Linked DNA regions of Lonchura striata. The protein of the gene in region 2 interacts with the protein of the main gene of each other region in a pairwise test. Links are inferred from orthologs where the notes say so. Each region holds a gene or a part of one and is shown on either strand. Other genes may lie near its edges.

Evidence for each region.
Region 1: the proteins of APPL2 (region 2) and RAB5C interact in binary tests that used the Homo sapiens proteins (3 or more experiments, as listed by UniProt). The two-hybrid records come from large-scale screens. The link is inferred for Lonchura striata from reciprocal best matches to the Homo sapiens genes APPL2 and RAB5C.

Annotation. Positions count from the first base shown.
Region 1 is NC_134627.1:6,406,332-6,421,631, reverse strand, and holds the start of RAB5C (ras-related protein Rab-5C), read right to left. Parts: upstream 8,224-15,300; 5' UTR 8,133-8,223; intron 409-8,132; 5' UTR 330-408; coding exon 164-329; intron 1-163. Other genes in the region: voltage-gated delayed rectifier potassium channel KCNH4-like, read right to left, coding at 9,018-9,458, 9,544-9,620, 9,709-9,812, 9,855-10,327, 10,404-10,451, 10,889-10,909; voltage-gated delayed rectifier potassium channel KCNH4, read right to left, coding at 11,653-11,958, 12,280-12,479, 13,146-13,340, 13,465-13,672, 13,967-14,124, 14,335-14,578. UniProt on the Homo sapiens protein: The small GTPases Rab are key regulators of intracellular membrane trafficking, from the formation of transport vesicles to their fusion with membranes.
Region 2 is NC_134607.1:20,388,837-20,404,347, forward strand, and holds the start of APPL2 (DCC-interacting protein 13-beta), read right to left. Parts: upstream 5,915-15,511; 5' UTR 5,791-5,914; coding exon 5,737-5,790; intron 1,192-5,736; coding exon 1,093-1,191; intron 1-1,092. UniProt on the Homo sapiens protein: Multifunctional adapter protein that binds to various membrane receptors, nuclear factors and signaling proteins to regulate many processes, such as cell proliferation, immune response, endosomal trafficking and cell metabolism.

The DNA.
Region 1 (15,300 bases), on a different chromosome or scaffold from region 2:
ACAAACAAATTATGAACCAAGAGTTAAAGCATCAACTGTTTGGCTCTATTTATAGCCAAAATTTCAGACCAGACTAAAATAACCAGTCTTGTTTCTGACACCCCAGACTGCCCCCAGCAAGGTCAGCACCTGCTGGCCACGGGCATCTGGAGCTGGCACTCACCTCCAATTGTGCTCTCCTGGTACTCGTGGAACTGCCCCTTCACAAAGCGCAGGACCAGGCTGGACTTCCCCACCGCTGACTCGCCCAAGAGAACAAGTTTGAACTGGCAGATTTTGTTCCCAGCAGCTGGTCCATTCGGTCGGGCAGCTCCACCTCGACCTGCCATTGTGGTCTAAGTGCAGGAGTGCCGAGAGTTAAGGATGCTGCAGGTTCTGCACTGGGATCCACCTGTAGGCAGGCTGCAACTGGAAGAGGAGGTCAGAGTTAGTGACATGCTCAGGGACCAGCTGTACCAGTTCTAGAGAGTGGTTTGATCTGCAGCCACCATCAGCACAGACTGGTGGTGATTCCTTCGCACAGTGCAAAGTTATCAGCTGTGAACACCACAGAGCAGTTCCTGCCAGGCAGCAGCCCCTGCAGCAGGATATCAGTCTGCAGAGCCTCTCTGGAAAAGAGGTAATGATAACACAAGCTCTTCTCCTCACCAGTGGGCCCTCCAGCACTTCCACCCTGTCTGGATGTTACACACACCTTGCTGGAGTGAGGCAGGTAAGGAGCACCCAGCACACAATGGGTGTTACTAGAGCTTTGTCTATTCAAACAGCAATTACACAGTTCACAGAGGTAACTGAGCTTGACCTTTAGCTCCCTCCTCCTTTCCCAAGTTCACAAGGAAGCAACATCAGACTATCAATGCTGCACAGCCACCCCAGTGCCACAGTGGCAGGAGGCAGCTCTGCAGGTTGTGAGGCACTTGGACAAAAGGAATCTCTAGAGCTGTCTGCTTGTCCTGAGGCACTTACACCACAATATTCTGCACCTCCCATCAGGCCCAAGGATGGCCCTGGAGCCAGGCAGGTGATCTGCTCCAGGGGGTGCCCACCTCAGAAAGGCACCTGACAGCAGCTGCTCTCTGAGCACAGGAGCTGACCACAGCTCCCCCTCCCATTCCTGCTGCACACCAGGAATCACCACCCAACCTGATCCAAACAGAGGCAGCACCTAATGCTTCCACCCCACTGCCTCAGCGCCCTTATCCCACAGCATTCCAGGCCACCAGCTACTCACCATGCTCCTCACACGGACTGTTCAAAGCCAGCTTGAACAGATAGCATCCCCTCAGATCAGCACTGCCAACCACTCCCCTCACCAACCTCCCGAGTGGTGCAGAAGCACAAAACCATGGCAAGAACAGCAGGACAAGCTGATTTGCACCCAGAGTTACCCACAAGTGAATCCCAGGGCCTCTGTAAGCACTAAGCTCTGCTGACTGCAGAGAACAGGAATGCTTTCCAAGTACACAGTTACAGATTTAGGCACATTTCCTGTACCCTTCACAACTCCCACTTCCCTGTGGATGATAAATGCTACAGCTGATTGCATCTGCTCTGGATCACCACTTTCCCCTCTACTCGCCTAAAGCAGGCTGTTTGTTGAAAGAAAGTGCCCCAAAAGCCAATTCCTCCTTATCCTGAGAGTACCCCCCAAGAAACTCTGTGTACATCCTGCATTTTCCCATGAATAAGAAGTTTAAAACAGGTCAAACAGGAGCAGAGTGTCCTGTGAACAAAGCTCAAGCCTACTCAGCACAGAGAAGAGTTTCAAAGAGCTGCTTTCCAGGGCAAGGCCTGTCCAGCTGTGATTGCTTGAGGTTACTTTAACAATGCCTCAAGTTTAAAGTCCCACAGCTTGACAGGGAACCTCCAGCCATTTCAGAGCTACTCTGGAGCCTGTGAGTGCCAGCAGCTGGAGAGCCCAGCAGCTTACACAACGCAAATCACTTGAGCATACACTGACCTAGAGACATCTCACCTCAAATTGCTCTGACCAGGAGGCAGTCAGATGCCAGCTGTTAAGATGGCACCAGTCACCAGAGCTGGCAGGTAGGACAGAAATCAACGAGTAAAACTTCTGAGTGCTGCGGGATGTTTCAGGAGCCAGAGCTCTGAGGTCATTGCTCTGAGTCCCAGTTTTGGGTTAAGTACTGAAGATACTGCAATCCAGAGCTGGGGCCTTGCAAGTAGCACAGTCAGGACTCCCCTCCCTCTACTGAGGAAGGACAAACACTGTTTGACAGGATGAGAAAGCTTGATATGAAAAGATCAACAACTGGCTTTGCTGGACAGTGAGGGAGCAGCCTGGTGATACCAGGTTCCAGAGGCTCAGCAGCAGCTCTGCATCTCTACCAGCCTGAAAGGGCTTCCACCTTTTAGAGTTTCCCCTCTAAACAGAGCTTGCAAAGGAACAGCTTTGATTTAACCTTGTATTTATAACTCCCTGGCAGTCTATCAGCTGCACTGCTGCTCCAGACCAACACTGTGCACAAACACTGTGCGAATCAGTGTGGCTGAGTTACAGCCTCCCGAAATCTGATAGAGGTCATTCCCAGAGCAAAACAAGGAAATGAGCTTGTTGACATCCTCAAGTCTTAGCCTGACCTATATTTCACAGATCTTGATGCATTTTGCCATCTGGTTGTGCTCCATGAACTCCACCAGAATTAGGTGAGCACATCGATGTTGAGCTCACCGTGGACAGCCACTGGTCAGTGCAGGCAGAGCAGCAGCAAGAGCCTTGACTGCTCCAGTTGTGGAGAGCTAGATCATCATCTCAGGGTGCTCTGATGCTTGGATACAAGATGATATGGCTTCATGTTCACATGAGAAGTTGCCATATGTTTCAAGTGTTTGAGTGGAATTTCGAGACTCTAACTAGTCACTGATGGCCTTGGGCTGAAGACTTGGCCAAAGTCCTTCCTCCTGACCAGCTGATGGTCACAGGAGGAAGCAAATAACCAAAGGAAGTGCTCACCAGTGCTGCAGACAGCAAGCACACTCCATGGCAGGACAGTAACCTTCTGCCAACGCCAAGATGTTTGAGGATTCCAGTCAGACAGAACTCAGCTCTGCAGAGGCAGCTGAACTACACAGCCTGAACCTGTGCTAGATCAGCCTACACCCACCAGTGGACTTGAGAAACAGGGACTGCTTCCTGCTGTATGAAGCCATTTCTGGTGCTTGGGGAGCTCTTCATCCTCCCACCTCTTCCAGCAGAGGATTGGGCTCCTCCCTGCTCCCCACGAGAATCCCAGCACTGACACTCGAGCCACAGGTCAGGCAGACCAAAATAACCACAGCAGTACCACACAGACGAGGGAAAGCAGCTGAAGTCCCAGCCTGCCATGCTAATTCAACTTGTCAAGGCCATAAAAAAGAAGGACACGGTGGGGTACTCATGTAATCGAGATTAACAGGCATTAATTTTCCTACTAGTTTCTTTTAACTAGTGGAACCCAGCAGCTGGAAGATCACAAGACCCATGAAAAGGCTCGTGCTGGTTTGTTTACCTGCCCTACCCACCTCCTGCTCACTGAAGCACACACAGGAGCTCTGCATCCCACAGCAAAAGCACCGATTTCTTTATTGTGAACTCTTAAGATAGTTTCTTGTTTGCATTGAGATCAAAGTCAAGTACCAACTCCTGATGCTGTTCCACAGGTGAGAGCTCCAGGTCTATCACTTCTGCTCCTCCAACCCCTCCCCTGCCTGTCAGGGTTTGCTGGAGGAGGCTGTACACAGCCAGGAATATTAAATTCAAGAATCTGAGTGCTCTAAATGAGAAAGCACATGCCATGGCTGCTGCACTGCCTGCCCAAGTGCAAGACCATTCTCCATAACCCTCAGGATGCTGGGGAAGAGCACCAGAGCCCATTTCAAACAAACCTACCCAGGACAAGAACACAAACCATCACATGGAAAGTACTGTCAGATCCCCATGTTAACCTCTGCAGGACACCCCACCACAGGGAAGCTGCTCATTTAAGGTGTCAGAAGTTAGAGAATCTGATATTTTTGCCCTGTGTTCAGCTAGCAGCAAAAACTACTCTGAAAGCTGAGGATATTCAGAAACCTAATCCTGAAGACTCTGGTTACCCAAACGACTGCTGCTGCTCTTAGCTATGCAAGGAGTTGCTTCACTGGGGATTTGTTGGCTTAGAACCAAAATACTCAAGACAAAAGCCCCAGTGAAGCATTTATCTCGTTAAATAGCTGACAGTGTTACATGAATTCCTTGGCAGAGGAAGCCTTGAAGTTACCCAGTGGTTTTGCTTCACCTCACACTGCATGGGCAGCTGGCCCAAGGGGGAAGAGTCAGCTTCAGGACATGGAGTCAGGAGCAACTTCCTGACTTCCACAAGCAGGACCAGCAGAAAGTGCAGGTCCCACCAGAGCCACATGCAGACCACACTAGCCCAGGCTAGCACAGCGTGGAATGTCAACCTGATATTCCAACTCATCAATATGATTAATCAGAACGAACTTCCTGAGCCTGCCTGCAGGAGGGCCCAGGCTGCAGAGAAAGGAGGAACAGACCCAACTATTACAGAGGAGAAGAACCAGGAAACACCCAACCTACAGACCTCAGTCCCACCAAGTCTCACGAGTTTCAATACTCCACCTTCCTACCTTGTCCCTCCCCAGAGAATGAGCCCTCGGTGTCCTGGTCACAAAGGACAGTCTGGAGTTCAGGGACTGCTCTGAACTGGGCCACTCTCCACTTCAGCTGGCAGGAGCTGCACTACAGCCCTAAAGTGCAGATTCACAGACCCAAATCAGCTCACACAGCAGTTTCAGCAGCACTCCTCTGGCTGTGACTAACTTATCATAGTGTAACAACTTCTCTGTGCAGTCCCTTACCCAAGACTCACAAAGACTTTGACATGCTCACCTTAATTTAGAGGTAAATAGGATTTCCATTCCAAAATTGATCTACTCATTCAGCTGCAGACCTGAACTAGTACCATCTGCTTCTCATGCTGTTGATACTCACATCTGTTTCCTGACATTTGCACATCCATGGCCTCTGGAGCAGCCCCAGCAGCCAGCTGTTTTCCAAAGCAGCTTTTCCAAAACAACTCTATCCCCAGAGACTTCAAGGCCACCATCCTGCTGTGACAACAGCACAGACTTCTGTGGAAGAGTTTTACATCACCTTCATCTCCCATTAGCTGCCCACTAGCTCCCAGTCCCACAGTGGCTCCCTCTTGGAGCCTTCACCTACTTTCAGTTATCCTTGGCACAGCAAGGCTGGAGGATCAACTCACAGATGCAGCCTGGACTGCCTCAAATGGAACAAAAGCATCAAGGTTTTAATTCTTCAGCAAAGGTTGTTTAACTCCTGTTCAGATGCCCTCAACAGACACAGCTTCCCTTGACCAGACACTCAACACATGCCTTGGAGAGCACCCACTGTTCAGTCAGCAAGAAGGCAACATCAGCAATGCAAAGCAGGAAACTGCCACCTGCACTGCAAAGAATCTGTGACCTTCAGAATATCTTTCCCAGACTGCACAAAGATCTCCTGCCTCGAGCAGCTCCTTATTTGGAGTGCTACCAAACCAAAGCAAACATGAAAAACAGTGTTTTCTTATCTGTTTATGCAGAGCTGCTCCAGCAGCTCATTCCTGTGCTCCAGGGGAGGACAGCATTTCCCCCAGACCTCAGATGAATTTTATTCCTCCCCAATACTGTCACATCCAGGAAGGTTTCCTGTTTCTGGCCAGTGTCTAAGCGTTTTCAATGCTATTCTGACAACTTCTCGGGACTTGCATAAGAGGCTGCAAACTTCATACCCCAAGGGAAGAAAACAGCTGACTCCAACATTTCTACATTCTATCCTCTTTTAAGTCTGCTGACAGGAATACTCTGGGCTACACCCACTTCATTAGAAGCGTTCCCATTTTATTTCCTGTGTCTGAAAGCCCTTGGCATTCCTTCCCCCTCCCTCTTCAGGGAGATGCCATGACCACCATCCGAAACTGTGCAGCAGCTGAAGAAGTTTGGACAGAGCTGATGAGTGGCAAGGCCTAGAGCACCCCTCGAGCTGATCCCTGTTGAGACGCAGAAGAGCTTGGCTATGGTGGAGATAATCCCACCTCTCAGCACAACAATTATGTTTGGCCAAGCACACACACATCACCAGACAGCTCCTTTACACACTGTCCAGTTGGCTGGGAAATGTAAAAATTGGTGCCATCTCAAACTGGCAAACCAAAACCACACCAACACATCCCTGGTTTCACAGGAAAGCAAAGTGTACTCTACCAATGCAAAAGCAGGTAAGTGTTTGAGCTTGCTCTAGTCATATCCACATGCCAAGCCAGCCTTTCCCTCCTACTCTCCAGAAACTCAACCCTCTCCAGGAGTCCATCTCACTTTGCCTGGGTTGATCCATCACCTCAAGAGGCATCAGCACCCACTTAAGTGCTGCCTGCACAACCTGCAGTCAAATGTCAGCTAAATCAGCCAGAGCATCTTGGGAGAAAAGGCCACCCCAGAAGCAGATTTTTGGTCTCAAGGTATTGACTGTTCCAGCAAACTGTTGTAACTTATGAGGGGTCTGAGGTGATTTCAACACTGAGACCCAGGTATGACCCCAAACATTCCTGTCCTTGACCTCCCAAATCCAGCCAGGCTCTGCTTGCCTCACCCCAAGAATGCCTCAACATTGTCCTGTAGCTGCCTACAGGTACTATCCAGAATTCTTAACTCTTTTCACATATAGATCTTGCACCTTATTATCCAGGTGAGCTGAAAAGAAACGTAAAAGACTTTCAGAGTCAAGGCAGCAGTGGGTATTTCCAGGAAGTTCCCTCAGACTGCATGGCATGTCAAGACAACAGACTGAGCTGGATTTTTTGGCCCCATCCAAGGCTCAGAGGTGGCTCGGGAGGCCCAGCAGAGCACAGGCCCAACATCAGGCTGTAAACAGGGCAGCTCAAGTGTGCTGACCCTCCACACAAAAAGCTAAGAATAGCAGATGCAAGTTGTTCCACAGCAGACTTAAAATAGTCCCTCGACATATTCTCCTTTCCAGCTTCCCTACAGGACTGGGAACAGCCAAGGTCAGAGCTGCAGCAGCCACATCCCAGGGCAGCAACTGCAGGGCAGCTGGGCTGGGCTCCCTGCAGGTCCCAGCAGCACCCCCAGCTCCTGCCCAGCCCCAGGAGCATCACCAGGAATAAGGTGCCAGCAGTTCTCCCCAGGATTTAGCAGGGCAAACCTGTTGCTCACGCTCACACCTGCACTCCTGGTGCAATCCCACCAGGATGTCACCCCCAGCTCACACTGCAGGGTCTGTCCTGCTGTGCCAGAGATCCAAGGGTGGCCTTGCTCGAGATTCCCTTACAGACAAGTCACAGAATGTCCCTGCAGCCCGTGGGCCTTGCTCAGGGCCCTACAGCACCACGGGTTTCCCTTCCCAAGGGCTGTGCTTGGCACCGGCAGCGACCCCGGCCAGTCTCAGTCACCTCCCGGGAACCCCTGGAGCTTCCACTCCCACCTCAGAGGCAGCCCAAGCACAAAATCCGATCCCACCGTGAAATCCCTTTCAGTCCTGGCGCCACACCTCCCCCAGTGCCACTCAGCTCGCAGTCAGCCGCGGCTGCGAGACGGGAGCTGGGCACAGCCGCCGCACAATCCCGCGGTACCGGCCGCAGGCGTTCGTTCCGCTGTCCCGGGAGCCGCTCCCGGGAGGAGCCTGACCCGAGCACCCACAGCGCCGCCGGGACGCCTGCCCCGAGCCAGGCACCGTCCCCTGGGCCGTGCGGCCGCCCCCGCCCGGCGCGGCTCCGCTCCCGTTACCGCCCGGCACACACCGGTGCCGCCAGGCCGGAGCAGCCGCCGCCCCGCCTCGCACCACACGCAGCGCCCCGCTAGGCCGGCGCACGGCGAGAGGCGACGGCACCCGGCCGCCCAAAGCCCCCGCCCCACCCGTGCGGTGCAGCCCCGGCATCGCCCCGCCCGGCACAGCGGCGCCACCGAGCCCCGGCCGCATCCCGCCACGGGGCCGCCCAAACGGCGGGGCCCGGCTGCCGCCCTCGGCCGGGCGAGAGCCGAGGGAACGGGTCCGCACCCTCCCGGCGGGCTCGGCCATTCGGGGCGCAAGGAGCGGCCGCGGCCGCACTCACCGCCCGTAGCGCCGCTCCCGCCGGTGCGTCTGCAGGCCCCGGGCCTCACTTCCGTCTTTACCCGTTCCGCTTCCGGCCCCGACCACCCCTTCCGCCCCGCGCCCGCCGGCCATAGGCTGTCACAGCTGCCAATCACCTGCTCCGCCCCGCCTCCACCCCGCCCCTTGAGCCGTGCGTGATGTCATGCGCTCCCGCGGGGACTGCTGGGAGTTGTAGTTCAGATGCGTCCCGGTGCCACCGGGCCCATGGGGGAGCCGGGGCGGGGCCCGGACAGGGCGGGGCGGCGGCGGACGGAGACTCAGCGGAGCCGGGGCTGCAAAAATAGAGCCTTTATTTCTCGGTGTTGCGGGGAGCGTGGGAGAGGCGGGGCGGAACGACACGAACTACAGCCGCGGAGGGGCGGCAGCGGCCGCGACCCCCGGGCAAGCCGGAGCCCCCACCGGAGAGCTCTACGGATCCTCCCCCGCCAGACCCCCGCGGGTCCCCCGGGGCTGCGCTGCCCCGCCACGCCCCACGGCCCTGGGCACAGGCGGGGCTGCCGAGCCCGGCCGGGCTATAGAAAAGGCGCCGTGGGCGACGAGTATAAAACCGTATCAAAATCCCTGCGCGTGTTCCCGGTGCGGCGTCCCGGGAGCCCCGGGGGCACGGCCCCCCCGGGCGGGGTCACCGGGAGCGGGGAGCCCCGGGCGGGATCACCCGGAGCGGGGAGCCCCGAGCGGGGTCACCGGGAGCCCGGAGCCCCGGGGAGGGTCACCCGGAACGGGGAGCCCCGAGCGGGGTCACCGGGAGCCCGGAGCCCCGGGCGGGGTCACCCGGAGCGGGGAGCCCCGGGCGGGGTGACCGGGAGCGGAGAGCCCCGGGGAGGCGCCCCCGGTGCCCGCGGGGTCAGCGGGAGCTGGTGGAGCCGGACCGCGGCTGCGGGCGGGCGCGACCCCCGGCCCCGGCCGAGCAGCCGGGGAAGGAACGGGCGGAGCGGGGCGGCAGCGGCGGCGGCTCCGAGTCCGAGCCCCGGCGGGGGTCGGGGGTGTCCCCCCGCGGCGGGCGCGGCCCCTCGGCGCCCAGCCAGGGGTGCAGGGCGGCGGCGTGGGCAGAGCGGCTGCGGACCGGGCAGCGTTTGGCCCGGGGGCTGCCGGTGGGGGAGCTGAGCGAGCTGGGGGGCACCGGGGGCGAGGGGGGCACCGGGGCAGCGGATGGCGGCGAGACGGTGGCGGGCAGACGGCAGGGACAGGCCGGGGGCTGCGGGGCGCCCAGGTGGCCCCTGAGCAGCTCCATCATGTTCTGCAGCTCCCGGCTGAGGTGAGAAACCTCCCGGTTGAGGTGGCTGATCTGGAAAAGGACAGGCAGCAGTGAGCACCGGCCGATGTCGCCGGGCTTTGCGGGGACATACACCCACCTCTGGTCCCCAGCGCACCTCCTGGTTGAGCCTGCTGATGTTCTGCTTTATCCGCTCCGCCTCCATCAGCAGGGCTGGGCCGCCGGCGTCAGTCCCTGCTGGGGAGGACACGGACAGCGCTGGGATGTCCCGCCGAGCCCCGGGGCCGGCGCTGGGACCTTGCCCGGCATCTGCTGGCGGTACCTGAGCTGGGGGAGTCCCTCGGCGCGCTCTGCGGCGGCTCCGTGCTGAAGCAGAAGGTTTGTGGCTCTGAAGCCCCTCCGTTGTCTTCAATCCCATCCACGACTCTAAGCGGGACGGGGTCAGGGTTAGCCCGCGTCACCCCTCACCTCCGTGCCACCATCTCAGCATCCCCCAGGATGTCCGTGGGACACCCAGGGCACAGCCTGGTGGCACAAACCCGCGGCAGCGGGATGAGCCGCCCGCACATCCCGGCGTACCTGGGGCTGAGGTCGGGCGGGCCGGACGAGAGCAGGGAGGGGATGAGGAGCTTGGGCGGCCTCCCGCCCGCGCCTCCATCCCGCTCCGGGAGCCGGCCGTCCCTCGGGCACTGCGGAGCGGGGCTGCGGCCGCCGCGGGCCGGGGAGGGGCAGCCGTGGCGCAGGGCTGAGCCCTGGCGCAGCTCATCGCCCAGGAGGCTGCTCAGGGAGCCGCGGCGCACCGAGGAGCTCAGCGCGGGCAGCAGCGGCTTGCGGCGGGAGGTGCTGGCGGGGGACTGCTGGAAAACCTCGTCGGGCTCCTCCTCATCCTCCACAATGGAGGGAAGGGGTTTCTCCGGGGCAGCACCGCTCTCCGGACGAGGCTGCAGGCGGGCGGGAGGTCAGGGCTGGTCCCAGCCACAGCCCCGTCCACCCCCATCGCCTCGGCAAGGGACGAACCTGTGGCGCCTGCGGCAGCCTCGGGGACCGGGAGTAGCGGCAGAGCCCCTGCGGGGAGAGCAGACGGTGCCGGCTCAGCAGCAGGAGGGAGCCCCTGCACAGCTCCACGGGGACCAGTCACCGGCCCGCAGCCCCCCAGCCTCTCAGTGCCCCCCGGGCAACCAAGCTTTCCCCAGCCCCACGCATCAGCCTCAGCACCAGCATCCACAACCCCTCACTCACTCTCCTCCCTCTGCTGCTGCCATGTCAGTGGTGAGCTGCCTGAGTGCCCTGAGGCAGAGCCGAGGCTGCACCCCAAATCCCAGCCACGGCTCAGCCATCAGAGCACCAGCTCTGTGTGGAGCATGCAGCCAGCACGGGAGGGTGACGCAGGTGCAGAACCTTGTGCACACTCCTGGCATTCTCCTCTCTTGGTTTGTTTACACCCCTCCTGTGTTATGGACATGGTGGGTCTTGGTAGGGCTGCTTGGGACCTAGAGACCGACCTCCCACACCACCTCCATCATGCTCAGGGGGAAAATGGGTACAAGGGAGATGGTCCAGAGGAAATCCGAGCCTCTCAGCAGACCCAGGGGAGGAAAAGTGCAGCAGAGCCATTTCTGCAGCGGAACATACCCCCGGATGCTGGAGCCATCAGCATGATTAAACCCACAGCCCACAGCTGTGTGCTGCACTCCAGGGGGCTTTGCCCTGGCTGTCTGTCCTGCAGTACCCCCCCCCAGTTCTCTCCAATCCCATTTCCAGGCTTCCATCTACCTCAGCCTCCTGCATTGCAAAGGTTCTCTCTGCCAATTCCCTGGGCTGCACAGAGCCAGGACAGGACATACCTGTGTGCCAGGGTGGCAGAGCTGCAGCCCCTTTCCCAGCCTTGGAGCCTGGGGACTGCGAGCAGGGGGTGCACAGACTCCCCCTCCATGGCCGTGCACAGCCCCAGCCCCAGGGCCGTGAGGACAGGAAGGGGCCTGAGCAGGAGGACACGCACCCACCTCCATCTCGCTGCCCTCCCGCAAGTTGAAGGTCAGGTCCTGGTGGATGTCAGCTGTGAACTTGCTGGCGTACTCAGGGTAGAGCTGCAGCACCTCACAGAGCCCCCGCAGCCCGATGTGCTGGAGGTCGCAGTAGGTCAGGGCCTTCACGTCCGCGTTGGTTTTGATCACCTGGTCCGTTCTGCACAGGTCGGCTCCAATCAAATCCCCTTTGCCTGCAGGAGGGCACCGGGGCTGGGCTAGTGACACGAGCCCTGAGCCCCTCACTCTGCCAGGCAGCAGGAAGGGCTGGGGCAGAGCCCACGCCACCTGCCCTCACCCAGGATGGCCAGGACCACGTTGTCCTTCAGCACCTCGAGGGAGCCGGAGCAGACGAAGTAGTTGGCCTGTAGAGCGTCGCCCTGGCGCAGCAGATACTCCCCCGGGGCACAGAACGAGGTCTTGATGTGGAGCGAGAGGGAGCGGAGGCAGCCCCGGCTGGCCGTCTCAAAGATGGGCAGCTGCAGGATGTCCTTGTTGAGGTGCATGGCCACGTCCGCACGCAGCTCGTCGGGGAAGTCGTGAAGCAGCTGGGGACAGAGGAGCCGGGGCTCTGGGCACGAGGGGCAAGGAGCAGGGAGCAGCATCCCAGCAGCCCCGGGGGACAGGTCCCCCTCTGGAATGGGGAATCTGCTGAGCTGCCCTGGTGTCTCAGCAGCGCTCAGCAGTCCCGACTGGCAGGGGCGGGCCCTGTGGTAATCAGCTCCTCTGCTCCATATGTCCCGCAGGAATTTACCCCACACCGGCTCCCTCCAGCACCACTCCGAGCTGGCCCTGCCAGCCCCATTGCTCCCCCATAGGTGCCAGTCGGGGCTGGAGGGGGCTGGCCGAGCCCCACCAACACCTCCTACCTCATTAGCATCAATGCCGTTGTTGACCGACCAGGTGGTCTGGAAGTACTCCAGCATCCTCTGCTTGAGCTGCTGGGGCAGGTGATGGACGCGGATGAAGTCCTTGAGGTCCTTCATGCGGGTGTGGTAGAGCGAGCGGCGGGAGTACATGCGCTGGATGATGGCCGTGACGTTGCCGAAGACAACGGCGTGCATCAGCGCTGGGGCAGGGGGCAGCGTCAGGGCACAGCCGGGGCACAGCCCAGGGCCGCTCCCCAAACCCAGACCCGGGGCTGTCCCCAAACCCAGCCCTGGGGCCGCTCCCCAAACCCAGCCCTGGGGCCGCTCCCCAAACCCAGCCCCGGCGCTGCTCCCCAAACCCAGCCCTGGGACCGCTCCCCAAACCCAGCCCCGGGGCTGTCCCCAAACCCAGCCCTGGGACCGCTCCCCAAACCCAGCCCCGGGGCTGATCCCCAAACCCAGCCCTGGGGCCGCTCCCCAAACCCAGCCCTGGGGCCGCTCCCCAAACCCAGTCCCGGGGCCGCTCCCCAAACCCAGCCCTGGCGCTGCTCCCCAAACCCAGCCCCGGGGCTGTCCCCAAACCCAGCCCCGGGGCTGATCCCCAAACCCAGCCCTGGGGCCGCTCCCCAAACCCAGCCCTGGGGCCGCTCCCCAAACCCAGCCCTGGGGCCGCTCCCCAAACCCAGTCCCGGGGCCGCTCCCCAAACCCAGACCCGGGGTTGTCCCCAAACCCAGCCCTGGGGCCGCTCCCCAAACCCAGCCCCAGGGCTGTCCCACATGCCCATCGCCTCCCCGGCGCCCTGCCAGGGACACAACGCTCTGCCAGCCCCAGTGCGCTCCCTGCCCAGCCCCACTGCTCGCCTCACCCCCGATGAGCATGGTGCAGATGGAGAAGATCTTCTCAGTGTCGGTGTTGGCGCAGACGTTGCCAAAGCCCACGCTGGTCAGGCTGCTGAGGGTGAAGTAGAGGGAGGCGATGTAGGCGCTGCGGATGGAGGGGCCCCCCACTGAATTGTTGATGTAGGGAGCCTCCAGCCTCTTGCCCAGCTCGTGCAGCCAGCCTGCCAAGCACAGCCCGGGGTTAGCACTGGCAGGAGGCAGCTGTGAGGGCTGCACCCCTGGCACGGCTGCCCCGCAGCCCGGGGGGATGCCGGTGCTCTGAGCACGCCGCTGCCCCGTGCTCACCGATGTCCCAGGTGCGGGGGTCGTTGCTCTCCAGCTCCTTGCGGCCGATGACGTACCAGATGCAGGCCATCCAGTGAGCCAGCAGGGCAAACATGGACATGAGCAGCGTCAGCACCATGGCGCTGTACTGAGAGTACCGGTCCAGCTTCTGCAGCAGCCGCAGCAGCCGCAGCAGCCGCACCGTCTTCAGCAGGTGAACCAGCGAGGTCTGGGGGCAGGGGAAAAGGAACCTGGTGTAGCTGCAGGCAGGGATAAGAAGGGACCCCAACGCCACCTCTGGTGCAGGAGCCTTTTGTCACCCCCAAAGCTGCCAGGAGGGTCACAGGTCACAGGGCAAACCCGAGGCAGCTTATCCCCAATCAGCCTTGCACCCCTGTGCCCAACACCCGGCAGGCAGCCAGGGCTGTGGCTTGTCAGGGCACCAAGTATCCCCAGGAGATGTGGGTGTTGGAGAGGGGCAGGCTTTGCTGTTGAGGGCTTGGTTTGTGCTGGCAGCACTCACCACGGTCACGTTGAAGATGTAGAGCAGATCAAAGGGCAGAGCAGCGATCAGATCCACAAAGAACCAGGTGGCCACGTAATGGATGCAGATGGAGCGAGGGTCGTACACAACCTGGCCCGACTGGCTCACGTATGTTGTCCGGAAGTTCAGGATGATATCTACCCCAGGAGAGCAGGACCAGCCCTCACCACCCCTTCTGTGCTGGCAGAGCTGAGCCAGCATCCACAGCCAACACTGGTCTCACTTCTGGTGTGCTCAGGACCAACAGCAGGGGCACAGCAATCCCAACCCCCCTCTCCATCACCCCTGATCACTGCCCACCGTGTCCTGTACCCCGGATCAGTGTCCAGCCCCGCACACAAACCTACCCAGGATGAAGAGCATCTCCACGGCGATGTCGCTGACAATGGTGCTGCGGGCAGCTGAGAGACTGTCCTCTGTGCCTGTGAAGCAGACGTTGTAGGGCACGGTGATAGCCACGTAGAAGGTGGCCAGCAGGATCAGCCAGTCCCAGAGTGCCTTGAAGATGCTGTAGTGGAGCAGGATGAAGCGGGACTTCTGCACCGAGGCCACCTTGTACTCGGGGATGGACGGCTTGTTCTCAAACACGTTCTGCAGGAGCAAACGTGCGCTGGGACGGGGGCGGTGCAGGGGCCATCCCACACGAGGGGTGAAGGCCACCACAGCCACCCCTTCTCCTGAGTCCTGCCAACCAGCTGGCATCCCCCGATGCCAGGGTGATGGCACCCTTTTCCTGCACCGCGGTCACCCTCAGAGATGGGCACAGAACTCCTGATTACAGCACATCAATTAGTGCAATGTCATTGCTATTAACCGTAATCCCCTGGCAATGCCAACTGCTGCCTGGAACCATCTCAGGTACCAATTCACATGCTAGGGCAGAGGAGGGGAGAGGTGAGGGCAGAGCCAAGGCCATCACCCCCAGATTCCCAAAATTTAAGACTGGTGCACTGATATCTTTTACCTGCTTATGAGCTTTGGGACCCAGCAGCTCTCAGACCCTCTCTCTGGCCCCACAGCTGCAGGTGGTGCCCTGTACTGGGCACAGCAGCCATGCAAAGGGGCTGGCACAGGACTGACTCTGGTTCCTGCCCCATCTGGCAGCTCCACAGCTCTGGCACCCTGGTAACAGCACTCCCCAGAGCCAGTGTGGCTGTGCTCAGAGCCAGCACTGGGGTTTCCTGACAGTGAATGTATGAGGAGAGGCACAGCTCTGCCAGAGCTGCTGTCTCAACAACAAGCTCTGGGCACACACTGGGTTCTCCTGCTGCCAACCCAACACAAGTGCAGCCTGGCTACAGCGTGGCTGCCAG
Region 2 (15,511 bases):
TGACTTTCAGCGCTGTTTTCATGTCACCTCTCGAGCCCTTGGCCATGCCCTGCATTATTTCCTATGTGCTGCAAGCCTCTGGCTGCTCTACATTTGCATGACTTCCAGGACATGAAGACTCTGAAGCTCTCTGGATCTTCCAGGTGGAGGCAGCCAGATCCTCAGCAAATGGTTCTTCCATCTCAAACTATCAGTCACCGAAAGAGCAATCCCAACAAATGGACATACACTTGCTTATAGCAAATCTTACAGCTGAGCTGACCTCTAATAAGTAGGATCACGCACTCTTCAGGGAAATTCAAAATACCCCTGAGTTCTTAATCTCTCTGTGTACTCTGATTTAGTGGTTTAAGAATAGAAAAGTTGTTTCTAGTGAACTCAGGAATTTAACCTACATAAGTACTTGCAAAACTTCCATGAGACACTGTGTAGGTCTTTAAAGACCCAGATATGGCATTTTGAAACACCTAATTTTATGCACATGGGAATCAGCTTCACTGAAAACCACTGAGATTTACGCTTTCCAAAGCACTGGATATAATTTATGTTACAGGTTTTACTTTCAAAGGGATTTAGTCATCTAGGTCATGTAAACACTCTAGAAAATGTTATTTTTTCTGCTCCAACTCTTTTTTTTCACATCTACTGTAGGCACTCGACTTTAGGATAACCCATGAACATCTATCTGCTCTGTAATCAATGGACATGGGCAGTTCCCTCCATGAGGTGAATCACAGCATCAAAGTTAGGTGCCCAAACTCAGTGTGCAGACCTAGGAATTGTATCTACATTTTGGCAAGGAATTTTGTCAAGGCTGGCCACCCAATGTATCACAAGGTAAGGACACAATACAGTTTTACTTTGGTTAATTATTTGGAGACAAAGTAAATAACTTTTTTTTTTTTTAATGAATACTACTTTTCTGAGCATCAAGGCAGGAAGAGGTTGAGCTATCAGATGAAAAACACCCACAACTCCTCTTAAACCACAGAAGGTACATATACTTAGCAACTCTACTGTAAATAACAGCATCACAATAGCAATTTATCTTCTACTCCACATTGAACAAAAGAAATACAAATGAAAAATTACCTGGGCACCATAGACTCGTTGCATTGCCTGAAGCAACTGGTTTGTGTATTCTGTAAGGGTTCCTGCATCTTCTTCAAAGACACTGAGCAAAGAACGAGTCTTTAACAAAAGAAAAAAAGCAAACAGTGCTTAGTTTTGAGTGGAAATCTTAAAAAGATTCAAAAAAGTAAAAAGTAAAAAAACAATCAGAAATAATATATCCTTGACTTGCACAATTCTGTTTATTCAGATTCTTTTATTATGGATAGGTAAACTGAGGCACAAGGAAGCAAACTATTAAAATGCTACAGCCACATCCCAACTCCCAGGCTCTTGCTCCTACTAACAGACAGTCCTTCCAACATAATTAGTAATGTAAAAAATCCTGAGTATCTTCCTGCTGACGACAGTAATTCAAACCATGTTAAGGACTGGGGGGTCAAACACCACTGCTTGCTCACTTTACTTCTCCAGTGTCAGACTGCACTGAAAGCACCCCTTTCCACTGAGATAATTTACACTCTGTTATTCACTCCCCACTGTCTTGAGCAACTCTTAAGGGGCCACAGCCAAAGCAAGCTGATGTCACTGGACCAAACAAGTGTTCATCTCCAAGAGGCACACAAGGATACGCCCACTCAGAGATACCCTGTACTTTCTTCACTCTGCTAACTCATCTTTGGCAGCAAGCAGGAAGGGGAAGGAAGAACTTGTGTTCTCTTAAAAGACACAAATTCCCTTGGTTTGTTCAGGTGGAACCATCAAGAATAAAGAATTATGTTGCTGACACAGTTCCCAAGATGGGAAAGAAAAGATATTTCAGAATAATGCTGGGCTCCAGAATTTGCTAGATCTTTACAATAATTAAAAAGGAAAGATTGTCCCATTAACAAACTCATGATCCATACTTAGCTTAGATAAATCCAATCTATTTGAGGCTATCTGGAAATGTCTCTCCATCTGTACAGCTAACGCATATGACATTAATGAGCTTCATCTGCTTACATGAGGGGCATACATAAACTCCAGTACTTTCACAGACATGTCAGTCCTGTAAAAGAGCAAGTCCTTTATTTTTAAGTCCCCCTCTTACAGGAATCTCTAATGTACCTGAAGTATCCAGGTTCAAATTTGAGAAATTTATTTTCAAAGGTTTAAGGTACTCCACTATTTTAACGGAAGGCACACGCATTTTCCAAGGCATTTTTTCTTCTCTGCAAAACTCTTTGCCCAGACTTTTTTTGTCCTGGAAAACTCAACACCAGCATCTTTCAATAATCCTAGACTATGATGAACTATCATTTCACCTCTGCTGAGAAGTATGCAAGCCAGAAACTAGTGCTGCTCAGTGGTTAAAATACATGACCTGGGAGTCAGTCTTTGGGTTCCCTTCAGAACCTTCCTCCTCTGAGTAGCTTTAAAAGCTCTCAACAGCTCACTTGGCTGATGTACTGAGCTGCTACAACACCTCCCACCTGGGAGATGCTGGCAGTTTGGGAAGCTAGTTTGAGATCCTAGCATTTAAAGGAATATGCATTACAAACTATTGCTTTCAAATAAAATGAGCATAAAAACCAGAGACTGGAGAGAAGTCCGAGTCAATGAAATTGATACCAGGAACCCAAATGTTTAAAGCACCTTTGTACAGAACTTCCCTGTAAGGACAGTGATTTTGAGAGTTTTCCACATTAACATATTATTTCAGTAACTGCAAACATATTGATTTTAAAAAATCTAGTTTCAAATGTTTTATCTTCAATGATGTAAAGTAAAATAATGTCAATAAACTATTTTGTATCTATACAGTACTCAACTTGTGTTACAATGGCACCTGTTTTGTGCTACAATGGCACATGAAAAGTACAGTGTACAAAAATGGTTAAAAAATAAATCTGGGGAAAGCAAAAACTATAAAACTTGACACAATGCTTATCAAGCCAAATGTCAAGCCAAAACTCAATGATTATAAAGAAATTGCCTAAATTGGGCTACAAATCACATAGTTCTGCCTGCTGGAAAAGGTTCCCAAATACAGGAATGTCAACTGCATTTATAAATTTTAGTGAATTTTTGCAGACTCAGATTTTTGGTTTGTCTAAATATGGTTTGAGGTAGAACAGCTCCAGAAACCAACTTCTGAAAGTCTTGGCCTCTGTTATTAGCACATTGTTCAAAAATAATAAAAACAATAAATTATTCAGACAGTTTGGAAGTTATTGTTGGAAACTTTTACATTTAAGAATATGAAATCACTGTAACAAAATACCAGCATATATGTATTTTCTTTGTTGCTGTTTTGACAAATTTTGGAATAGCAGTTAATTCTGTTGAAATAAACCAGTGATCCAAATATTAAGCTAACATTTAAGAGGCCCCATTATTCACAACATTATCTCAGCTTCTGAAAGGATAGGAAAAAATTTTCTAGTTTCATGTAAGTACTTCCCTTGATTTTAGCATGACTGCTGGCATAAATTTTTCTCTATTTTGTAGCTAAACACATCAAAATTAAGACACTTCTTATGGCCTCTTCAGCCAGTGTCTAGAGACAAATCAAGACAAAAGTACTGTACTGACGGGGAGAGATAAATGAAGTTCTAGAAACCTGATGAAGAAATAACTTTGGCCTAATTCTCCTCGGTCTTGCATGTAAATCACATACTTCCCACAGATTATAGAAAGTGAGGTTATATCCTCATTTCACCATCCCTTTGCACTCCTGAGACTGCACAGAGCAGGAGAGAATCAGGATCCTTCTTGCAGAAGTAACTGGTCCTATAAGATGCTATACTGCTTATTTCTGTGGAACAGAGACTAACTTTTTGCTTTGATTTTGTGAATCTAAAGCTCTCCCCAATGACAAAAGTAATAAAAATATAAAAGACTGAAAAACCCACTCCTGCTTCCTTGCATAAAAAGAGTATATTTTAGCAACACTGGGCCATTATAAAAATGAAACGTCACTCACTCTGAAAGCCATAGAACTTGAAGAAAAAGCAAAAAAATCAGGGTAAAACATCTTGCCAATACGCAGGTTTATGCATTGCCTGGTATTCTAGTGATGGCAAAGGAGACATTGACAGCCTTCATTTCAGGACACAGGTAAGATGATTACCTCCAAATTCAGTTCAGTGCATTGCTCAAATGCTTTCAGACGGTGTTACATTTTTAATCACTGAGGGAAGTGTTGACTGAAGAGGTAAATTAGCTCATTTCTCCTGCATGTAAATTTCTTCAGCTTTAGGACACAGTGGGTAGGTTAACAATAAAAATGTTACTAGCTAGCCATAATTAATCTGGTACATTCTGGTAAACTGTGGAACGCAGAAAAGCTCAGTCTGGTAAGGAACTCCGCAGGTCACCTAGTCCAACCCTCTGCTCCAAGCAGGGTTGACTTTGGTGTAACTTCACATTACTCAACACTTCTTCCAACACAGTGTTTAAAATTCCCAAGGATGATTACAAATACGCCACATCAAACAGATGATGGAAATCCTTCTTACTAGAATGGGATTTCATGAAATTACAAAAAACCAGGCTAAAATGAGGCAAGTAAGATCTTAAGACCCGAGGTTCATTAAGTCCTGACAGGTGCACTTCCAATCTTTCCTTCAAGACGTCTCATGACAGGCTCTGTAACACCTTGCAGCAATCTGCCCTACAGCTTACCTATTCATTCCTGCTCCTGATCCACCAGCAGACACGTTGGGATTACAACACAGGGTTACCTGGGAGCTGTACCCATACTGATCCGCCCTGCCCTCGTTTGCTTTTCCCCTGTTCACCAGCTACTTCTGTATCTCGCTCTGCACAACGCTTTGTTCCCAAGCGCACCTTCCGCATCCCTCAGTGGAATTTCCATTATTTCCCCTTCCTCTAACTTCTCTTTTCCACTCAGCCAGCCCCTGAACATATCAAGACACACGTTCTTCTCTGTGGGCCTCCCCCAGTGCCGGGTCCGCAGGGCAGCCGGGCACACGGCGGCTCCCGGCGGCGGGGCACGGGGCGCTGCGCCGGGGCCGAAGGAGGAGCATCCTCCCTGCACTCGGGAAGGGAAGGGCAGCCACCGCCTCTCCTCGTTCTCACAGCCCTTCAGAAGGTCATCTTCGGTGGGATCCGCCTCACCTATCCTCATGGGAGCTCCTACATGGGAACTGCGGCCCTTGAGGAGCAGGCACGCTGGCGGTGACACTCCTCCAGCCCATTTTGTCAGCGCGGCCAGGTGACTCACCGCGCACAGGTGTCCCTTTCCCTCCGGGGGAAGCCAGCGCACCGAGCCCTGCCCGCCTGTCCTTCCCCGACACCCTCAGCAGTTCAGGGCAAGCCTTACGGCCACCGAGCGCGCTCCCACACGGCACGGTGCGAGCGAACAGCCGCAGCAGTCTCCCTGCCCGCGCTGGGGGAGTCCCTCGCCCGGGGGACAAGAGGAGCAGACTGCCTGCTGTTCGCCACGAACACCAGACCTCCCCCGGCCGCACGGCCGCTCAGCGCATCCCCGCTGGCTCGGACAGCCCAGCCCGCCCCGAGCGCTGTCCCCCGCCCGCCCGGGCACCCCTCTCCCCGCTGCTCCCCGGCCCGGCCGGACCCGCGGGCTGCCCGCCGGCACCGAGCGCTCAGGTGCCTCACACCGACCGACGGACGGGCTGTCCCGGCAGCGGGCGCTACCTGCGGGCTGTCCTGCAGAGCCTCTTCCAGGAGGAGCTTGTCGACGGCGGGCATGTTGGTGCTGCGGCGCGGCGGAGCCCGGGCAGGAGCGGGGAGCGCGGCGCTGGCACGCCCCGGCGGCGGGGCTCGGCAGCGTCCCTCCCTCCGCCCGCCCGTCCGTCCGTCCGCCCGTCCGTCCCCGCGGGGGCGGCCGCGGCGCTCCGCAGGCACCGGGCACGGCGGGACGGCTCCGCTGGCGGGGCCGGGGCCGCTCACTCCGCCCAGTTCCCGTCCGGCGGAGGAAGCGAGTCACGGGAGGGCCGGGGGAAGGCTTCCTGCCGCCATTCGCTCGGCGGGGCGGAGGGCGGCCCGTGCCCGTCTCCCGTGCCCGCCTGCCCAGCCGCGCTCCCCCGGGGCAGGGTGGCGGGAGGAGGGATGCACAGCCGCCCTGGATGCCCCCTCAGCCGGGAGAGGCTGTGAGGGTGCGTGGGTGTGACGAGCACCGGGGGAAGATCAGCCCCTCCAGCCTGGCTCCTGGGGCTTGGGGACCTCCAGATGCAGGCGAGCCCTTTGCTGCGCTCTCCTCAGGTGCGCGGCGGGGACACTTCTGGCATCAGCACAGCCGCTTGCTTATCAATTCCCTCGTTTGTTCTTGTCCGTGGACAACTCTGCAAGTGAAACAGACCTTGTGCTCCAGACAGGCAAATCCCCGCACAGCCATGGCTCCTAACACCATAACCCCGTAACACTTGGGGGGTTAGAAGGGACGCATTTTGAGTTGTTAGTCACATGAAGATGTGCTGAGCTATGTTTTTATAAGTCTTGATGCTGTCTTAATTGTGTTGGATAACTCCAGCATTTGGACGTTAATTTGGATGCTTAGTTGAACAAAATTAATACTTGCAAAATAAGCACAGCTTGATCTGTATTTGATTATGTACATGCTTTTGAAGGGTGTCCATTGCTTTTAGATGCCTTAGCTTCTCCAAAAGTCCTTGGTTATAGATCTTGTAGGGAAGTTGCTCCATTCTTGTGAGCAGTAGCTTTTGTTGCTCCAGTGTGCCTTTAGATAAAATGGAGATACTCAAATCCAGAATCTCATTTAAGGAAAAAAAAAAAAAAACAAACAAAAAACACACACACACAAAAAAAAACAAACCACAAAAAAAACCCGCAAACAAAAAAACACACAATAAAAAACCCAGAAGAAACCAACAAAAAGACCCCCAAACAAATAACCCAAACAAAACAACAAACCCCAAAACCTACTTCTGAAGATTTTAGGAAGAATCCTGCCAATGAAACAGAATATGCAAACAACCATACTGGCTGTAAGATGCTACCATCTTTGAATATATGTCACAATTTTCAGATAACTCGTATTGCTGCCTTCTTTTAAAAGAAGAAAAATAATTCTAAAAAATGCAGCTCGTGTTGCAAGAGAGCTCCAAACATTAATATCAGCCAGCTTCTTGCATCTAAGTCCCAGTGGATTTTTCCACTTCTGGCATTCTTAAGTAATAGCAAACATTTCATATGACAAGGTGATTGCTAATAAAGATTGAGGGGTATTTTTTCTGATTAAAAGACTTTTTGCAGATTGGCTGGATGATTGTTTGCTTTAATTATGAATGAGAAAAACCACTGAACCCTGTAATTTTGGCTAAGGTATTTCTGTGTGTCTGACATTGATTGGTATTGCTTCTGAAGCTTGTGATGGGACCTTTAACCCAATGTGCCAAGCCATAACAGTGGGACTGCCCCACCAGTCCTGAAGCTGGACTCTCTGTTCCAGGCCTTTGAGTAAGAACAGAGGTCTCACATTCAGTTCCTTTTCCTGCCTGAAAGACACTGAACCATAATAAAGATCTCTAGCTAATACCAAAAATACCATGGATGACAGTATGTATTTACATAAGGAGAAAATAAAAATAGATACAGATTTATCATAATAATGTTTCCAAAGAATTTTAGAATGGTGAAAAGAGGTCAGAGATTTTTTTTTTCCTACGGAATATGAAATAGGGCACCAATTAGGCATTAGGCTTAAGAATCCATGATCACATCTGAGCCAATTTTGTCAGTCTGTATTAAGTCTTATTTTTCTTTCATCAGAGACTTTGAAAGCATTACTTGAAATTAATGTAGAACAAGAAAACCATGCTTCATCAGATTTTCTGTATCTGTTAAAGTAGCTTCAGGGCATTTTTTAGTATTTACCAAATACTTAGTTTTAGTGACAACTCTTGCCTTTCTTTCCCCCTCTTGTCTTGAAATAGTTCAGCAACAGCTCTTACCCATTAAGTTAAAGTATTTCCTTCACCAGGAAAGCATCAAGGTGGTTTGTTTGTGGTTTTATTTCATATCAGTGCAATAACCTGGAAGGTTTTGTCTTCTTCCTTTTGATGTCTTTGTTTAGTCTGAGGTTCAAGAGTGGAAGCCTGTTGTCATTATAAAGTTCAGGATAGTTATTTCCACAACAGGTTCTACTAGTTTTATTTAAATAAAACAAAAAGCACTTCATTAACTTACTGAAAGGTGATGCTTTTTACTAGTTGTCATTCTTTGTTGCATCATTTCCTACACAGCTATAAACTTGGCAGATTGCTTATTTATAGTGAACAAAATGTTTTTATTGAGCTTTACCAATTCAGTCCAGGTGGTTTTGAATTTGCCTATTAGTAATTGAAATTAATTTCCCAATCACTTGACTTTATTTGGTCTCAAGAATTATTCTTCAGTTTTGGTAACTCCAAATAATGTTTCTAAAACAATTAAAATAACCCACAGTAAAACTACCAAACATTTCAACAACAGATTTATACAACATTAGCAGTATTAGAAAAAGAAGTTAGATACCTTGTTCATGGCCAGTCCTTTGGGTAGAGTTGTCTCATTCTTTGCTCCAAGAAAACACAGTTTATGGGTTTTCTGAGTTTCCGTGTTCTATATCCAGGTACTGAATGCAATATACTCACCTACTACAAAGAGCCATGCTAATGGAAAGCACTCTTACAGCCATTCTAGGAGCACTGAACATCTGGGAAGAGAACAGGGAAACAGGAGATACAGTACTCACAATCCTGACTGCTCAAAAGACCTGCCACGGAAGTGTGAACTGAGCTGGAGATCACTTCCAGGGAGCAGCCCAATTCATTTGTATGTGTGTATTCCATAACCTACAGATGACTCGATTGTGTTAAGAAAAATAGCTCCTAGAATGTGAAAACTTTAGGGGAAAAAACTCAGAATGGCTACAATTATTCTGATCCATACTGCTTATAAAACTAGCAAGAGATCATAGTATCAAGTAAAATCAATAAATAATTCAGCATTGAGTATGAAGTAATTTATTATGTAAACTAATTGTCCTGCTTCTAAGAAAAGATGATACTTCCTTCCAGCAAAAGCCAAAAAAATCTCATAATTGGGAGAATAATCAATTTCAAAAGAAAGAAGAAAGTTTGAATTCAACTGGAATTTCAAGATTTGTCTTCTAAACAAATCTCTTGGCAAAATGACATAAAATCTTCCATTATTACTGTAGTTCCACAGAAACTGGTGCGTCTTCAAACCTGAAACTGGGGTTTTACACAGGACAGTCTTGTTCCTGTTTGAGGATGGCCAGGAACATCCCTTGGTAACCAGCCAGTCAGGTCTGGCCATGTGACAGGACAGGAAGGACCGTGGTGTGACTGGGACTGTGTGGTCTGCAGGACTGAAGGTGTCAGTGCCACGCTCCCAGCTCTGCCCAAGTGCTCTTCCCCTAACTGCCCAGCACCAGCTCAGGGCTGGAAGCAGAGTGACAAGCCTGGATGGTGCTGTGCCTCAGTTAAAAAGCCCTGCCAGCTTTAATTGGCCTGTTTGGAGACAAGGCAGCTGTTGTGCATCCTTAGCCTAATTTATTTCCAAATTTGATAATCCACTCAGTATAAATGGAGAGCTGACTGTAATTATTTTTTTCTGGTTAGACTAGTTAAAGAGTAAGTCATACTGCATTGTGCTCTCTTTCTTGTATGTTCCATTATAACTTTAAAGAACTTATTGCATTATGCTTCCTTTTTGGCTTCCTACCTTATACTTTACAAGAAATTTCTGAGCAGTGGTGTGTTAGTCACATGTTTGCTAAGTCAGCTGAGTATATTTAGACTTTTAACAAAATGTCTCATATTCTTTTTTGTGCTCAGTAACAAATCTTTGAGATACAGATGACTTTTAGACATGTAATAATTTACTGTAAGTTGTGCAACTTTTATATATATATATAAATATAGGGGGTATGTTATATGATAGTAGCAATAAATTGCTTCAGATGAATACAAGTGAAAGATGTGAAAAAGACTCTTAGTACTTTCACTACCAGAAGCATCCCAAAACATTTTTTTAAATAGTATCTGAATAAATTACTGGTTAAATTAATACTAGGGCGTCTGATGTACTGGACATGTCTTGGACACATAAGAAATGAGTATCATGTGATTTTGTGCATGACCCATAACATAATACTGGGCTGAAATAAAATTCCACTGAAATTATTAATTGCTATGTGACCAAGATGTCGTGTTCTTTGTTTTAACATAAAACACATGGCTTTGTTTATTTCCATTAAACACGTTAGTAATATGCCGAAATGGATATGCACAGATGGGCTGGCTGGTGGGATGGATCTAATTAAAACCTCATTGAAGGTGAAGAGTATAACTGCCATCTTTAATTTCATGTAATTTAAAGACAATTAAGTCCCCTCCTGTAAATAAGCACAGCAGCAACCTCCACCCAGATCCAGAATAAAAATATGGTTTCAGAGGCTGGAGTCACTGATGGAAGCACCAGCACTTCCTCCACGCCCGCCTCTGCCCTATGCTGTGTGGGCTCAGTGTTTAGTGTGGCCATGGCTTTTTGTTTTGGGGACTATGTGATGGAAGGCGCCTGATTTAACAGTTTGCATTTGCTTTGCAAGAAACAGAAACAATGAGAGAGTGGGTAGTTTGTTGGAGAATTAGTGGAATATTTTAAGCTAAAATTTTTATATTTTTGTGGTACAAACGTTAATACACAGGCTCTTTCCTCCTTCTAGCTGTGTTTTTTGTGATGTGTGTTGTTCCCTAACCTGCTCTAGGTGATGGTCCAATGGAATTCAGGGCTGTCTGAGGAATGGTGAAAAATCTTTGTATGAAATACAAGAAGCGACAGAAAGAATAATACAGGTACTTCATCAAAGAAATGCATATCTGGTATGATTCTGTACATTAATATGAGACCTCTAATGCCTGACATAGGATTATGAAGTGCCAATAAATAACCTGTTAGGCATAAAGGTTACCAAAAGTCAGAAAATCACATTCAAATGCAGGCTGGATCCACAGAAAAGACTGTCAATTTAGTATCAGAGGGAACCTGCTCTTTTAGTCTTTGCAACATCAATACAAATATTACAAGCAAATGCATTTAATGTCACTGTGTCTAAAGCCAACTCTTAGTCTAATTTCTTTATCATGAGATCACATGAACCAATCAGGCCCTGCACTTTTGTGTTTCTTTCTGAACAACACAACTGAGAAATTAGCGTGGTCTTAATTCTGATCACTCCCTTTGATTCACTTTTGTTCATCTTTCCACGGCTGGTTAGGCTAAAAAGCTGAATTATGATGTCTTAACATTTATATATAGCAGAACATACCTTAAGGCCTATTAGAAGTCCATGAAAGTTTGCCAGCATGATTATATCCTTTTTGGTCTTGCTGTTTTCAGTTTGGACTCTTTTTGTTCTCCATGCACAGCATAGCACAGAGGGGTCTGGGTACATAACTGAGGCTGCTGCAGACCACAGAAACCCCGAACAGCTCTGCTGCCAGCTTCCCCCTGAGCAGAGGCAGTGCTGCCCAGGGCAAAGGCAGAGCAGGATGTGGTGGTGCAATAGGATGTCATTTTGTATTTTTAGAGAAACGGCAAAAAACCCCAGAGGATGATACAGAAAGCATTAAGGAAACTCTAGGCAGCACCCAGATGGGCACAGATACCACAATCTGTTTGTTTCCTGCTGGGCAATGACTCCTCCCAGTAGGCTGCCTAGACAACATCAGGAGCACAAGTACACGAACAAGTGCAGTCATACAAGGAAAATGCAGTGCTGCATTGCTGCCCGGGCAGCAGGTCTGTGCACCCCCAGTCCAGCTCAGCAGGAACCCTCTCGCCCTGGAGCTCTGTGCTCCTCCACACCGCTCAGATGCTTCAGTGTCGCAAGATCAGATGTTTCCAATTTTTCTTCCTGCGGCGGCTGCTTAGAAGTTCTTCTGCTGTCTGGAGAAAGCCAAATACTGGGAACCCTTTCCTGTCATATGACTGGACCTTCTGCTGCAAATGAAGGGCTTGCCAGAAAGCTGGAATTCTGCAGCATGTGCACTGAGGCGTTCCCTCCAGCATTGCTGCTGGAGGCAGGGCTGTCGGTGTGGTGAGCTGGCGACTTGCTTTAGTAGGGGGCAGTGAGGAGTGTGAGGAAAGCAGAGTTGAATCATTATAGGAGAGATTGCAAGCCACATATTGCCTTTTGTAGCTTTGTAGCTCTTGGAGTGTCTTTTCAGAGGTGTGCTGCCCTTACAGCATGGGTGAGGGAGCACAGCCCCTAGGAGGCTGACAGCAGGGTCTGACTGCTGCTGTGAGCAAGATAATTCTTCCAGTTGGCAAAGCTCTCTCTGTATTTTCCTAGGATAAAGGTCACTTGAGCAAGGTACAAGCAAGGTGAACTATCTCACCAGGCTGTGGGTAGCTTTTGGGCTATAAACTGCCTGCCATATGTGACTGAACTTGTGCAGAATTTGCCTTGCAGCCAAGAATCTGCCCCACCCTTTTTCTTTCCATCATGTGATTTTCCATGCAGGCAGGTGGTTTGTACCCCTGCAGCAATGCCATATGTTACCTGTGCACTTGACAGCCCAGCTCTAGTCCTGCAAACGTAGAAACTTGTGTTTAGCCCGTCAGACTCCTGAAGATTAATCAGGCACATGAATGTTGGCTGGATAAGTAAATAGTTTCCCAGTTCTTTCAAATTCATTTATGGTAACACATTGCTTTTCCTTGTTTTTCTTTCACATTTTAAAACCAGAACATTTAGTTCAAGGGTCACATACAGTCATTATCTTTAAATACTCTGTAAACGTAAGTCCTGACAAGATCCTAGGTCAGCAAGCATCTCTCAGTTGAAGCATAAAGCACGCAGACAGCATGTACTGCTGTCAGAGTCAACAGCACCTAGTAATGTGCATATTTTTTTTCTTATAAGGGACCAATGGTTTCTAATTAGTTTTTTTTCACCCTCTCAAATCACACTTCTATGAAATAGCAAAAAGGAAAAAGCCCCCTCCCCCCCCCCCCCCCCCACAAAAAAGAGCAGTATCATATCTGTTACTGTGAGAACATAAATAATAATGCAATGGAAAATGTTCTCATCAGTGTTTAAACTAACTTAAAAGCTTTGAAAGAAATCTGTGACAGAAGAGAAGTTGCCAGAGTTTTTTGTCCCTCCCCTGAACAGAACAGCTTGTGCAGTATTTCAGAAGTTCTGTTAGATTTGATTTACATTGCGTTGTAGCATTGCCAAATGGAGCAATGTTCAGTACTTTGAAAACTAAATCAAAAAAGAGTGCTCTGGTCATTGTTAGGTTTGAGTCCAGATCTCTTCTTGTTTTTGCTGTTGCACATCTGGACTGGTGCTGCCAGCACCTCTGGTTTCACCATGTTTCAGCCTTCTAGGGCAGGTTTGCTGTGAGGGGCTACCAGGCTGTCAGCTCCCCATCAGACCTTCCCCAAGTGACATGTGCTTCTTATTATGAAATGGGAGGGATTTGGGATTGCATGGAAAATGACTGGCCCCTCTCATTCTGGAGGAAAGAGAAAAGCAAGTCCTTGACTCCTCAATGCTCACTGTTGGAAATCAAAGGCTTAAATCTCCACAGCAATCATTTTAAGCTATGTTCATTATTTTCACACAACTCTGTGCATTTTAGGGGCCCCAAGTCATGAATTTCGAAATGCAACGCAAATACTAATAAACAAAATACCAGTGTTTTGGTAGCAATTCCAGGTACATATTAAGGAACAGATAGTTTGGGTGTGTTGCATCCATTTTGCTGTTAAACCTGGAAGAAATGAAACTAGATAAAGTATTTAATGCAGAAATTCCCAAACTGTCCATTTCTGTGTCTGTCTCTACCATTTGCCTCTACTCATGGATCCAAAAGCTGATTCTGTGTTTAACAAGGGTGAATTGCTTAATTTTTATTAATATAAATGAGAGGCATTTGTCACCTTTATGTAAGTGCTGAAAGGATATCTCCTATGAGAATATCTGAGGACATCACATAACTGCTATTGATTGCTTACAGTTGGTTTTATTTCATGGGTACAAATATTCTGCTCTTACAAATATTTGAAATTATGCATACAAGAGCCTTCCTTGAATGCTTAGAAATTGCTAGTACCTTATCTGTCAATAACTACATTCTGTGTGTTAAAAGCCACCAAAGCACAATATATAGTTGGTATTTGTGGGTGCCTTTTTCTTTTTAATGACCTAACACACACTGCTTCCATATTTCTAATGGTAAGAACTTCTCTTTACTGTATGCCTAGTATGACAGAAGTTTTGATTAATCAAAATTGTTAGTATCCTCTTGTATTAAACTCATATTTATATAGAGAGATGCTGTTTTGATGTACATTTATTTTTTTCTTAGTCTGGCTGTTATTTGCTGAAGCAGAATTCTATTATTTCAATAAAATGTCACATGCAAGTTATGAAAGTCACAGTCTGTGTGAATTATATATAGCTACTGTAAAAAGACGGGCAAATTCTAGCTTCCTTAGATTTTCAAAAGCTAAGGTATTAATTAAGCAGAGGTGGATAAATATACAGCTTTGATGAAGACATTTTTCATCATGAGGATGTCTCTGCTGCTTCTATAGTCTTCAGGCACACTGCATGCAAAAACAAGGCAGCGTCTGTGCTGGTTGGCATCATTACCAATATAGGGCAAAAACAATTATTATGTGTGGAAAACTGTAATGGAAATTTGTATCAACAACTGAGGAAGAATTGGCATCTGAAAAAGTGCAATAAAATAAAACATAATAAAGCAGGGATATCATCTTCCCACAGTACTGCACAAATAAGAGCTATGTGTGCAGAAGGGCCTCTTGAAGTAAAAGTGTGAGACTCCAAACAAGAGACATGCCTTTCTCATACACAGTTCTGAGGCAGTTTCCTCTCATGGATCTAAATGCAGTTGTCTTACACTACTTGAGAACTAATTTAGACTTTTCAGGTGGAGCAAGAGTGTTTGAGCTACACATGTGCCTGAAGTGATGCACACACTTTGTTTCGGGAAGATGCAGTGCTGCACTGACATCTTCAAGACAGTGAAGTATAAAGGTCCTTTCTCTAGCATTTTGCCAGTTTTTCATATTTTCATTTTGTGATACTGTCACTGGAAAAGCTGATTTAGCTACATCTTGCAAATTAATTTATGAAGTGAGAGACAGGGAAAGAGATTAATCTGTCTGCATAGTACATTAAAGTAAGAGAGAAATATGCTTTTTCTCCTCTATTCTGAAATATAGCTTTGGGAGGCTGTTTGTAGAGATAGTAAAATGAAGCTTGAGGGATCTCAGAGGTAAGAAGCACCCTTACTTATCTCCTGTATTTTTGTGAAACTTCTAATAGTAGAATCTGACACATCATATATCTCAGCCTTTTGGGCACAGAAAGGATTCCAAAGTGTTTCTTAGTATCCAATTTAAG